Linked DNA regions of Mus musculus. Each later gene encodes a partner of the first gene's protein in a complex. Links are inferred from orthologs where the notes say so. Each region holds a gene or a part of one and is shown in the gene's direction. Other genes may lie near its edges.

What was found. The genes of interacting proteins can lie anywhere in the genome.
Region 2: the proteins of Tomm5 (region 1) and Vdac2 are in contact, whole or in part, in a cryo-EM structure (PDB 9EII), measured with the Homo sapiens proteins. The link is inferred for Mus musculus from reciprocal best matches to the Homo sapiens genes TOMM5 and VDAC2. Residues at the interface, in NP_001001790.1 of Homo sapiens: Ile25, Arg29, Leu32, Ile33, Ala36, Arg39, Val40, Phe43, Ile44, Lys47; in NP_001171752.1 of Homo sapiens: Val38, Thr60, Gly63, Asp239, Tyr258, Gln260, Thr261, Leu262, Leu268, Leu270, Val286, Leu288.

Annotation. Positions count from the first base shown.
Region 1 is NC_000070.6:45,103,788-45,110,422, reverse strand, and holds Tomm5 (mitochondrial import receptor subunit TOM5 homolog), read left to right. Parts: upstream 1-2,309; 5' UTR 2,310-2,389; coding exon 2,390-2,510; intron 2,511-3,534; coding exon of another isoform or gene 3,535-3,584; intron 3,585-4,778; coding exon 4,779-4,813; 3' UTR 4,814-5,214; downstream 5,215-6,635.
Region 2 is NC_000080.6:21,829,479-21,836,170, forward strand, and holds the start of Vdac2 (voltage-dependent anion-selective channel protein 2), read left to right. Parts: upstream 1-2,082; 5' UTR 2,083-2,189; intron 2,190-2,372; 5' UTR 2,373-2,397; coding exon 2,398-2,431; intron 2,432-3,405; coding exon 3,406-3,474; intron 3,475-4,322; coding exon 4,323-4,372; intron 4,373-6,692. UniProt on the Homo sapiens protein: Non-selective voltage-gated ion channel that mediates the transport of anions and cations through the mitochondrion outer membrane and plasma membrane.

The DNA of each region.
Region 1 (6,635 bases):
ATGCATAGATGATCAGAGTGAGAAGAGACTTTAGAGCACGAAAGAGAGACTTGTCCCTGATTTTGTGAGCAGGGAGAAGCATTGCCAAGAGTGATCTTCTCGGCACTCATGAAGGCTGGACCTCTTCCTTAGGAGTCAGCCCCTCCCCTACCACTGCTGCCTCTGCTTGTCCACTGTCTGAATTATAGATGCAAATACTTACTAAAGCTTGAAGAAACACTCGAGAGTTTTTTACTCTAACCCCAGGGTCTTACACTCTGTCAATCAGGAAGGTGCTAACATTGTCAGTCATTCTCACAGTCAAGTTTTTTTGTTTGTTTGTTTGTTTTTTGGTGTTTTTGAGACAGGGTTTCTCTGTGTAGTCCTGGCTGTCCTGGAACTCACTCTGTAGAACAGGCTAGCCTCGAACTCAGAAATTCGCCTGCCTCTGCCTCCCAAGTGCTGGGATTAAAGGCATGCACCACCATGGCCGGCCTCAAGTATTATTCTTTTGTTTGTTTGTTTGTTTGTTTGTTTGTTTTTCGAGACAGGGTTTCTCTGTGTAGCCCTGGCTGTCCTGGCACTCAATTTGTAGACCAGGCTGGCCTCGAACTCAGAAATCTGCCTGCCTCTGCCTCCCGAGTGCTGGGATTAAAGGCGTGTGCCACCACGCCCGGCTTCAAGTATTATTCTTTTTTTTTTAAGATTTATTTATTTATTATATGTAAGTACATTGTAGCTGTCTTCAGACACTCCAGAAGAGGGAGTCAGATCTCCTTATGGATGGTTGTGAGCCACCATGTGGTTGCTGGGATTTGAACTCCCGATCTTCAGAAGAGCAGTCGGGTGCTCTTACCCACTGAGCCATCTCACCAGCCCTCAAGTATTATTCTTATTTAACCCCAAATTCATTGTTGTTATACAGTGTGCCTGCAAAAAGAGACGTTCTGATATTGGATTATGTGAAAAATTCAGTTGTCCCATTCATGTCTGAAAACTCTAACTTGATTTTCTCTCATCTGTCCAGTGTTGATCAGTTTTGATCTGGGCTCATACTTGCTGTAGTCCAAGATCTTCATTAGAATATTTAAAGATCAGTTACCTCCAAAAAATGAGTGTACAGAAAAAAAATGTGGGAAATGTTAGAATTTCAGTGTCTGGGACACTAGCAGTCTGAGCTCACTAGCTGAGGGTGATAACCTTGACCTCTGTTTTTTGTTTGTGTTTGTTTATCTTGGGATTGTTTGTTTGTTTCAGATTGTCCTTGTAATTACTTTGTAACCCAGGCTGCCCCTAACCTTGCAGTAATTCTTTTGCCTCTGTCTTCTGAGGGCTGAAATTACAGGTGTGAGACACTGTTTCCACCTTGACCTTGAACTCATTCGTTTGTTTGTCTGGAGACAGGATTTTTCTGTGTCACCCTGGCTGTCCTGGAACTCACTCTGTAGACCTGGCTGGCCTTGAACTCAAAGATCTGCCTGCCTGTGTCTCCCAAGTGCTTGAGCCAGCACTGCCCTGACCTTCAACTCTTGACCCCTTTTTTCCAGCAGCCCAGTGCTGGGAACACAGGTGTGTGCAGCACTGTGCTGGCTAGTTTTTGTCAACTTGACACCTAGGAAGCGAAAACCTCAATTGAGGAATTGCCTCCACCAGATTGTCCTATTGGTGAATTTGAGGGTCATTGTGTGACTACTAGTTGATGGAGGAAGGCTTAGCCCACTGTGGGCAATGCCACCCGGCAGGTGGTCCTAACCAATAAAAGTAAGTTAGCTGGTTGAGGCCAGCTAGCCAGTAAAGACAACGTCTCCGCTTGGTTTCAGTTCCCTCCTCTAGGTTCCAGCTTGAACTCCAGTGCTGGCCTCCCTGGATAACGTTAACAGGTTAGGTGAAACACTTTCCTTCCTAAGTTATTTTGGTGGTGTTTATCACAACAGCAACACTATCCAGGGCTTCATGCATCCTAAGAAAACGATTTGGCAAACGAACTTCATTCCCAACTAAGTTGTTTTAAATTTCAAACCTAGGAAGGACAGACTAAAATGTGCATTTCACGAAGTACTGTCTTAGATTCTTCATAAATGTTATTATTATTTATAATGATATTTTTGCACACACCTCCCTACTTTACAGCATAAAACAACTTTACAGGTGGCACTCTCCCGGCTAGGGACCAAAACACAGTCCAGATCCACCCAAGGCTCAGAGACTTAAGGCGGCGGCCGCCCCCTTCAGGTCTCTTTGCTTCAGACACAAGAAGACAGGATGAAATTTTCCCCTCACAGGTTCCCGTCACAGGACAGAAACAAGGGGTGGGACAGGAAGTGGAGCCTGGCTAAGTTCCGGGTGCAGGGCGGCCACTGGAGGAGAGCAAGCTGCTGCTCTCGCAAGCTTTGGAGGCAGAGCCGCCGCAATGTTCCGGATCGAGGGTCTCGCGCCCAAGTTGGACCCGGAGGAGATGAAGCGGAAGATGCGTGAGGATGTGGTCTCCTCCATTCGGAACTTCCTCATCTACGTGGCCCTGCTGCGAGTCAGTGAGTGTCCTTCTGGGCTGTGACCGTGAGGCCACGCGTCCACACCCAACCCTGCACGCGGTCGTGGGGCCTTGAGCTGAGCATCCTGGGGAGAGTGGGGTGCTTGCACGTCCAGGACTGCCCAACTGCGCACACTCTGGGGGTCTGCGGGTCCTGGGGATGTGCCCAGTGCACGTGGTGGCGGAGGACGCGTGGTTAAGTCACCTTTGCTCGCCCAACGTTTGTGCTTAAGAAGCTCCCACGTGTTATCCTCGGAGCAATACCCTCGTTTTGCAAACCTAGAAACGGTCCCCGGAAGGTGGCTGACCCAAGGTCATTTGGCCGTTCAGAGAACGAATACAATTCCGGCTGAGCTCTTAATAAGGTAGCAGGCGCTTTCTCTCTCTGCTTGCCTTTGAAGTACAAGAGATTAGCTTTCTTTATGTTTGTTTGTACAGAGGGTGAAGTAAATAATTGGTTTTTCTTGGAGAATCTCTGAAGCGTTTGATCTCAACATTAACAAAAGTTGCTTGATCTGTGCCACCTCACCCCAAGTGAGAGCTTGAGTTCATAGGACACATACTCAAGGTTAAAGCCATACTGTCAATTTAAAAGTCAGGGGCTGGCTAGGTGGCTCACTGAGTTGCCTGAGCCGGATCCACACGTGGTGGCAGGAGAGAACCAGTTTCCAGAAGTTGTACTCTGACCTCCACACCTGTACCACTTCTTCCTATTGTCCAGTGCTTGCTTGCCTGTGGGAGTCTTCTGGGCAGGGAGAGGCAGGAGCGATTCAAATAATTGAAGAACATACCAACATTTTTAGAAGACTGGAGTTAAGGCCTCCCTCATTTGGGTGCCTCTTTTGCTGTACTCTCTGTATTGCTGGCTCCTCCAGGACAGGACATCTTGGGGGAAATGGAAGCACCCAAAACATCCTGCTTACCCTTTAAACTTTAGCTTTCCCATCCTTCTCTTATAGGCAAGAGCTCTCAAGGAAATGTTAGCTTAGTGCACTGATTTATTCTATTTAATGATTTTTATTTAGAACCGGGCATGGTAGCACACACTTTTAATCCCAGCACTCAGAAGGCAGAGGTAGGTGGATCTCAATGATTTTTTTTTTTTTTTTTTTTTTTAAAGACCAGCCTGGTCTGCAAATGGAGTTCCAGGACAGACAGGGCGGTTACACAGAGAAATCTGTCTTGAAACAAGAGACTTTTGTTATGTGTTTTTCTGCTTGTCTATATGTGAACCACGTGCCTGCAGTCCAGAAGGGGGCGTTGGAATCCCTGGAACTGGAGTCAAGCTGGCCATTAATTGTAAGCTGCCAGGGATGGCTGGATGGCTGGGCTGCTGGGATCTGAACTCAGGTCCTCCTGATTGACCGCAGACACTCTGAACTGCTGAGTCATCTCTATCTCAGCAACGCCACTTGGGTATTCCAGACAGCTCTGTGCACATCATTTATCACATCAGCACAGTAACTGGTGTGATCTGAAGGGCATAGGTGACAGAGTCATAGAGAAACCAGAGTAGGTGTCTGTTCCTCTGCTTGCCTTACACACACACACACACACACACACACACACACACACACACCTCCTAGCCCCTGTTCTCCCAGCATTGGTAATGAAGCCTAATGCCCATTTGATTCCTCTTGCATTTCGTCTTGTTTGGGTTAAAAAGGAATCTGCTCCACCTCCCACCCCCCTCAAGTATACCTTGGGGGTAAAGTCCTTGCCTGGCCCGTGCAAGACCTGGATTTAACTTCCTGTAGTGCAAAATAGGTCAAAGATGCCCACAGTGAAGGGCTGTTGGGGTTACGTACAGCCCTGGAGGAAAGATGCCGGAGTGTGAGGTTGCTTGCTCTTTGTGTGCGATGGTTATTGAGTGACATGGGGGTGGGCAGCTTTGCAAAGCAGCGGATCCCTTCTTGTGGTCAGACACAATTGTTGGATAACAATTTGGAAGTTTCTAGAATCATATTTCATAAAGTCAGTGACATCCACCATCGCCACCACCACCACCATTATAACTGTGCAGTATGGCCTGAGGACTTGTAGAATAAAACCTAATTCAGGGGCTGGAGAGATGGCTCAGTGGTTAAGAGCACCAACTGCTCTTCCAAAGGTCCTGAGTTCAAATCCCAGCAACCACATGGTGGCTCACAACCATCCGTAATGAGATCTGATGCCCTCTTCTGGGGTGTCTGAAGACAGCTACAGTGTACTTATGTATAATAATAAATAAATCTTTAAAAAAAAACCTAATCCCGGGTTTTTCTTTCAGCTCCATATATCTTAAAGAAGCTGGATAGCATCTGAGGACGGGCAGTCAGGTGGATGCATGGCATGAAGACCTGGTGACGGCTTCTCCTCCTGTCTGCAGCTGAATTGGCCCAGAAAGGTGTAAGGCTGATTAAACGGACATATAAACTACTTGTTGAGAACAAGTAGGACTTTGAGAACTGACCTCCATAGCTGAAATATAAAGCCACTTGGGAAGTGCAAAAAGATGTCTTGTGTTCATGGTGCCCTTAGGCCCATGAACTCCACCCCTGTGAGTGTTGATGGAGTGGTTAATAATGTCAGGCTCTAAGGGGAGTCATTTCTGTTTACCACTTCTGTTCAAAGTGTTATTTGTGAAGTCTGTTTGGAAGTCAGCATACACCCACAATGACATTTAAGCACAGTCTATATTTTTAATAAACATTCTGATGAAGAAAGCGTGGTTTTGTGTTTTTAATCCCACTTTGGTCATGGCCATCCTTGGTGGGACTGTTACAGCACTGCGACTATTGCTCCTGGAGTTTGGTTTGAGCTTGAGAATCTGTTAATCCTGCTATGTGGAATTATGCTTCTTGGCCAAAGTCTTCATGAACTGCAGATGACTGACTGCTTAGTGCTAGAAATACAAAGACCATGAAAGTGGGGAAGGGGAGGCTGCATTTTAAACTCCAATAGTTCTCTAAGAGTGTTGGCTGAAGAGGGCTATCAGTTCTCCAGAGCAACTATCCATGCTCCCCTCTGTTTGGCTAATGTATATGGGTTTTGTTTCATTTGTAAGATTGTTTCTATTTGATGTCTATATGTGTCTGCCTGCTTGTATGTATATGTACCACGTGGGTGTTTGTTGCTAATGGAGACCAGAGGAGGGCATTGGATTCTCTGACATCGGATGCTGGGCCTCCTGCGAGGGCAACAACCGACCCGTCTCTCCAGCAACACCAGTGTATCTTGTAACATGATGGTGCTGTTGTTATTCTTTGTACCCCTCGTGTGGATGTTTGTTTCTTGTCACCTGTCTTCCTGTGTGCACCTAGTGCGGTTTTGGGTAGACCGGTGGTTTTCTTTCCCTACATAGTCCTATCATCTCCTAGATTTTATTTCCCTATGAACTTCCCACTAAATTAACTTTTCACTGAATACCAAAATGCATCATTTGCTTTGGTCAGTCACTGCATCTTCTCGCCTTGCTGAGGGAGTGTTCCCTGGAGCCTCTGCTGGTCCCTCTGGACTGTGTGTCTGTCACCTGGGAACGGTGTTTTCCTACCCTTGGTGTTGTTTGTTTTCCTGGGGCCCTGACTGGTGGCATAGGAAGTAGACATTTTTAGACCTCACTGGTCTGGAAGTGGCTTGCTCTCTGGTCACATGATTAAATCTCTGCTGAAGTTAGAGTTCTGGTTGGAATCCTCACCCTCCAGGGTTTTAAGACATTATGATGTTGGCTCCAGCTTTGAGTGCTGCTGAGAAATCGGAAACCTTTTGACTCCTGGTCTCTCTGAGAGGCCTAATTTTTCTTTCTGAGAAACAAGGATCTGTTGTCCTGGTAGTCTCTTCCATTATACAGTGGGGTGTGTGTGTGCATGTGCATGCGTGCGTGTGTTTGTCTGTGTCCAGTTCACTGTGTGGGTACTTGATCACTTCACTGTCTTAAAACTTGGATTGCGTGTCCATTAGGTCTCATAAATTTTGTGTTTTAATTGATGGTTTCTTTCCCTATTTTCCCTTTGTAGAATATACAACTCTTTATTTTCTTTGTCTTTCATACTGTTGCCTAAAATGGCTTTCATCCATCTTTCTTTCACGTTTAGACACTTCACTTTGTGACTGGGTAAAACCTGTTGGTGTTGGACTCTCCCTAAGG
Region 2 (6,692 bases), on another chromosome or scaffold:
TATGATGGGAAGGAGTCACCATCTTTCCCACCCCTGTAATTCTTTGCTTAGGCTGGAGTTTGTCCCCAGTGGCCATTAAGCACCACCCACATACTTTACAGAGTAAAGCTTCCGACTTTTGTGTCAGAAAATGATGTCTCTGGAGATCAAAACTTGTGACAGGTAATACAGAATAGGAATAAGCCCTGCTATAGGCAATTGAGGTAACTAATTTAGCAGGCTGAGTTTTTCTGGAAGGCAGTGCTGAGGAGGCCAAACTCTACCACAAGCATCACACAGCTGGGGCAGACTGTCTCCCGTGGGCCAGGTCCATGGCAGACCAACCTGCCTGAGCTTGGATGAAGGGATGAGTCAGGTGCTGGAGCCCGATCTCATACACACAAAGACTCTTCCCATTTCACTTTTTACAACACAATTCCAGCTGTGAGCAGGTGAGGTTGCTGGCTAGCCTTGCTCCTGGGAGAGAAACATACCAGAGTGTAACTTTAAACTTGGGTGTTGGATTGGGGGGAGCCCACCTAGCCATCTTTCCTCCGGCTTAGGAGGAGAGTGATGACTTAACAGTACTTGAGTAGAGGAAGAGTTCAGAGACGATTGAGTCATGAGTGCATATGTGTGGGTGTCTTTGCTCTCAGTCCAACTGTATGTCTATTGAAGATTATTAAACAGCATCTTAGAGATGAGGGAATTGAGGTCCACAGGCTAAATTATTTGAGTTTATTGAGCTGAAGTGTCAGTTGTCTCCATTTTAAATCTTCTGTATGGCTGACGTGTGTGTGTGTGTGTGTTTTGAACAGTGTCTACTGCTCTTCACCTTTTACAGAATTTAGAGAACACGGTTTGCAGGCCAGGTTGACAGAGCCCCCGTGACCCTCTTGTTTCTATTTCTGGAACTACTACTGGCTTTTAATGTGGGTGTTGGGTGCTGGGGATCCGAGCTCAGGTCCCCTTGCATGCACAGCAAGATAAGGGTTCTTACTCACTGAGCCTCCGATTCTATCTTTATTATCCTGTTTGCCTCACCCTGTAGTTTAGCCTCAAACTGGTCTCTATTATTATTATTTCAAGACAGGGTTTTTCTGTATTGCCCTTGCTGTCCTGGAACTCTCTCTGTAGACCAGGCTGGCCTCGAATTCAGAAATCCACCTGCCTCTGCCTCCCAAGTGCTGGGATTAAAGGTGTGCACCACCACTATCCAGCGGTCTCTTATCTTTATTAACCTTTTGCCTCACTCTGTAGTTTAGCCTCAATCTGGTGTAATTTCTCTGCCGCCCAGATCTGGGACTACAGGTATAGGCATCAGGACTGGCTGCTCCCTCCCTCTTCTGGCATATCTAAAGAACTTGAGAGCAGCATTCTAATGACTGGTCAGCATGAATCCTACAGTTATTCCCTTGTCTCTCCAGGCCTCTCAACCAGGGGAAGCTTCTCTTCCTAGAGCAGGATGTGCTTCTGCGCGTGTGTGAACCCATACCATATATGGGTGAGACGGAGGCTGCAGGAGCGCAACCCTGAGGCTCCGAGAGAAATGCCCAGAGACTGGCTCAAGTTTGTTCCTTTGGAGCCCAGCCTAGTCCCAGCAGGGGAGGACATGGCGGTGGGCGGTGAACCGAGATGGGAAGAGCATGGAGGCTGCACTTGGGGAGAGTGTTTCATCCCCCTCAACCCGGACCTTAAGTTCAGACCTCCAGGCTGGGACTCAGGGAGGAGGCTGAGAGGGTGCACGTGACCCTGCGGGGCACATCGCCCCGCCCCGTCGCGACTCGCGTGGCCACTCCCATCCTGACCGCGCGGGTGCCGTTGCGCCGCCTCCGCCGTTCCCAGGTCCTCGCCTCTGGGGCTGTCCTGGACATTGCCTAACCCGAGGCCCCGCAGCTCCTGCTCGCCCCGTCCCCGCCGGACGGTCCGAGACCGCTCACCCAAGGAGACCGCCGTGCTCTCGACCCACGTGGTCACTCCGGAGCAGGTGGGAGTGGGCAGCGGGCGGAGCGGCAAGGACAGGCGCGGTAGACAGCCCGGGCGGCCGCGGCGGGGACCTGGCTGGGGGAGGCCAGGCTTGCGGCGGGGCGCAACGGTGTCTCCTTCACTTCGCCCTCCAGCCGCGGTGGCTGCAGCGCAACTTTCAGATAGCGGAGTGGCCTCAGCTGCGAGCCGAGCGGTGGCGGCAGCGCCCCTCAGGACACCCGCAGGTACTATGGTGCCCGCCTCTTGCCGACTCTGGGGCCTTAGGGCGGGCCGGCAGCCTGAGTGAACTCAGGGCGGCCCTGGTCCCCTAAGATGGCCGCAGCGGCCCCGGCCCCTTTCTCTAATGTCCGAGCTCCCCAGGGGACCCTTTGACTGTCCCCTGACCGCACTTCTTGTCCCTTTCACAGATCACCTTTTCCCCGCGACTTCGCCATGGCTGAGTGCTGTGTACCGGTATGCCCACGGCGTAAGTAGCACAAGAGGTGTTTGCGCGATGGGGCCATGGGGGCTGTGCTGTTCCTCTTTAGAGAACCATACCTTGTTCCGCCGTGGCCCACATGATGCCTGCAAAGACTTGGAAAGTTTGCTTCTTTGCGCGCCCCCTAAGTCTTACACTGCCACTCTGTTGACGGACGTGGTGCTGGGCTGTTGGGTTGCAGATAGGGGGGCTCGCGCCTGGGGCGTTGGTCCTTGGCCGCACCCACCCTTGGCTTTTGGATATGTTACTTACAAATCCGAAAGCAAAACACTTAGTTGTTGAATTCCATCTTGGGGTTCGGGGGGGGGGGGCGGAGAGTTAGAGCAGTCACTTTGCAAGAGGAAGTAGTTCGCTGTCTGCCTGCACAGGTCGAGTGCACTACAAGGTCATTACACGTGTTCCTAAGGGCGTGGATGTGCACTGGAGAATGAATGAGCTGCTCCTGGAGCTCGGATTCCTTGCCCTTAAGCCTCACGTTGTCGGAGGACTTGGGGGACCGTAGTAATGTGTTTAAAGTGCCATTTGATATTTAGTTGCTGTAGACATAGATGGTTGTATTTTTTGCCCGTGTCTCAATTGTGCCAGTTCCCAGAGTGTTGGTTTTGATTTTGGAAGTCCTTCCCAAAGGTTTGTTAGGGGAGAACGCCTAAGCTTAAATTTTGGTTTTTATCTCCGTTAAATCAGTCACCTTGAGTTTTGGCAACTGTGTAGGCAGTAGACACTTATGTTTAGGAATTAGAAAGGCTTCCCCCATTCTTAAAACTTGGTAGAAATGTCCCAGGTTTGTATTACCACATAGCTATTTAGAAATAAGTTTTTGTTATGGGTGGCTACTTTAGAATAACATTTATTGAAGTTCTAGTGGCATCAAAACCCACTCCGGTTGAACTGCTTGAATGTAAATGTTAGCAGTAGGTCCTAGTAGTAGCTCACATTAACTGTAGAATGTTTCTTTTGACTAGCGATGTGTATCCCTCCACCCTATGCTGACCTCGGCAAAGCTGCCAGAGACATTTTCAACAAAGGATTTGGTAAGGACTTTTTTCCCTTTTAAACATAAAAGAGAAAAATATATGCTTGGACCTCTTGAAAAAAGTTAATTGCTTTGCTTTTCTAGACTGAATACCCTGCTGCACTCATGCCTCTGCCAGCTGCATGTGTACCCCACTTTCTTAGCCTTTCTTCGGTCACAATTGAAAAGCTTGTTCTTTTTATTTTGTTGTTGTTTTTTGGTTTTGTTTCAAGACAGGCTTTCTCTCTGTAGTCCTGGCTGTCCTGGAACTCACTCTGTAGACCAGGCTGGCCTTGAACTCTCAGATCTACCTGCCTCTGCCTCCCAAGTGATGGGAGGCGAGTACCACCCCACTCCCCACCCCCTAGGGAGAGGGGAAAGCCTGTACTTTATTCTTTTAAGTGACAGTTCAGACCATGGTTGGATAGAGCTGCCTAGAATTACTGTTTTATTTTTGTGGTTATGACTCTGGGTAGGTGGAAACCTTAGAGTTTTGAGTCAATTTTTGTGCTTTCTTGAAAATTGATTGTTTTGCACATACCACTACCCCTTGCTCTTTGGTGATACCCTTTTGGGATAAAAGTCCTAAGTGTGTTGCCATAAACAGTAGGCCAGTCTGAGGAACTGATTTTTAATCTAACGTTTAAAAATGGCTTGAAAAGGGTGCGGCAGGAAGTGGAGCCAGTTATAGGACACTAGGCAGCGCTACTGTCACCTTAGCAGAGCTGACTGCTTGTAAATGTTCCTTCATGTGCTGTGCATTTGTCCATTTCTGTCCCGGACTTTGGGATTATGTTCACAGTACTTTGAGTGTGGGTATACGTCTTTTCTGCAGAAGAATCATATCTTTGCCCTCTCTTTTTGAAGGCTTTGGGCTGGTGAAGCTGGATGTGAAGACGAAGTCATGCAGCGGTGTGGTAAGTTATTGATTCGTTTTCACGAAGCTGTTAATTTCATAGCCCATAAATATCTACAGCTCTTTTCCCTTAAGGAGGCAGAAGCTAATTTGTTTTGAATGATTTATGTGTAGTCTGATTTATTGGCTTTGTATGTGATTTCTGCATTTCACATGGTTTTGTTATATTCCTTTATTATGTATGTTTTACCATGATTGCATGGAGAAGTTGGGAAAGCCATTGCTTATTTGGGACTGTCTACTCAGGTAGATGACAAGCATGAAGGCCGTGACTCCTGTAACCCTTTCTCTTAGTACCTGTCAGAGTTCTGGGCTCTGAGTAGTAACTTGGTTATTTGACTACAATGACCATTTAGTATAGTGGCTACATTCTAACAGCCATCCATGGAGATGTCTGCCTGTTTATCCTGACTGGAATGTCTCTACAGAATTTGCTATTTTCATATGTGTTGATCCTTCCCGACTGTTGTTAAAGAAGGGAGAAAGTAAAGCACTGTTCTCCTTCTTCTCTAGAAGTTTTTATTGTGAGATTGGAGATGGGTGTTTAATGTTCATGCTAAACTATGATTGCTCGGTACTGTGTGCATGCTGCTCTGCATGTAACTGGTATCTATTAAGTTGTTTGTGGTGCTGTTTCTTGATGCTTAGATCTGTTGCATTTGTGGCTTTTATATTTGTCTTGTCCTGTGGTTTCTTTGGTCTGTGAAGAAGTCTTAATTATTTGGTTATGGTTGAGTGACTGACTTGGATTAATAGATTATAGAGTATTAGGTGACTGTAAGTATTTTTTCTTTACTGTTGCTGGGCCTTGCATCTCTACTACTAATCTTTATTTTCAGCCTACTGAATTTTAAATGTGTTTGTGCATGTATGTTGTTTTAAACTAAAACACACCATCTTTGTCTTTAAAACGTTTACTTTAAGACTGGGAGTGTAACTTAGCAGTAGAGTGTTTACCCAGCTATGTATGAGGTCCAGTGTTGTAAAACAAACAAAAACACCCTTTCTATTGGAAAGACAAACTGTAAGTCGAAGATAATCAGAGAATTGGATCAAGCAGTAGATTTGTAAACTAAAAATTCTTGTTGGAAAGGAAAGGCTGATGGTAAACCAGAACTAGGAACAAGTTAGGAAGTGTAAGGTCTTGAAGGACATGTAGGACCTGGATTGAAGAGGGGATGCTCTGCTTATACTTGAGTAGAGTTGAGTCGTCATAGCACTGATGGTGTACTACGCAGACCTGCCCAGAATTAAGTCCTACTAAGGTCTTTTGATTTCTTGAACTGCAGGATGTGCAGGCTACCCAAAATGTAGAAGATGATGCTCCAGTGATGGAGAGGATTGGTCCTCTGGCCCTGTTGGCCTTGTGTCCTGAGCATTCCTTGGCACATGTTAGGCTGGTTCTTGATCTCAGGGACTGGTGGATGGTAGTAGGTGGCACTTGAGTAATTATTGTCATGCAGGATTAAAAACTGCTGCCCATACACATTTCCCATGTAAACTGTTTGTTGGAAGAAGAGCATACTTCATGTGTATTTAATGTCATCTCGATGTGCATGCAGAGCTCCAAAGCTTCCATGTTGTCAGTTCAGTTGGATTATCCTATAATAGGCTGCGCTGTTCCTTTGAAAAAACAAATCTACCTCCAAAATGTTATTTTGTTAGTTTTTCAAGACAGGGTTACTCTGTGTAGTGCTTGCTGTACTGGGACTGACTCTGTAGACCAGGCTGGCCTTGAACTCAGAAATCCACCTGCCTCTGCCTCCCAGTGCTGGGGTTAAAGGTGAGCGCTGCCACCACTGCTTGGCAGTGTTTGACATTTCTTAACTTTTCAGGTATCGAAATTTCTGATAAACTAAAAACCAACCAACCAAACAACAACAACAAATAATTTTAGACATAGCTTTAAAGTGACTAGATTGTAGAGGCATTGATATAGAAACCATAAATCAGAACTCAGACTGTTGTAAGAGTTACATTTTATCTTGGGATATTTTACCCACAGGCTGTGCTTGGTAAAGAAAGATACTTTGTTCCTCTAAAAAGTTCTAAGATACAGTCTCTGAGTTCCCGGTTTACCTGGTGTGCTACAGGGGAGTGGCAGGTCTTTTTGGAACAAAACCAAGGTTAAAACTTTTTTAAAAAGATTCACTTATTTTTAAAATAAAAATTTATTTGTTTATTTATTTTTGATTTTTTGAGACAGGGTTTCTCTGTATAGCCCTGGCTGTCCTGGAACTCACTCTGTAGACCAGGCTGGCCTTGAACTCAGAAATTCGCCTGCCTCTGTCTCCCAAGCGCATGCGCCACCACTTCCTGGC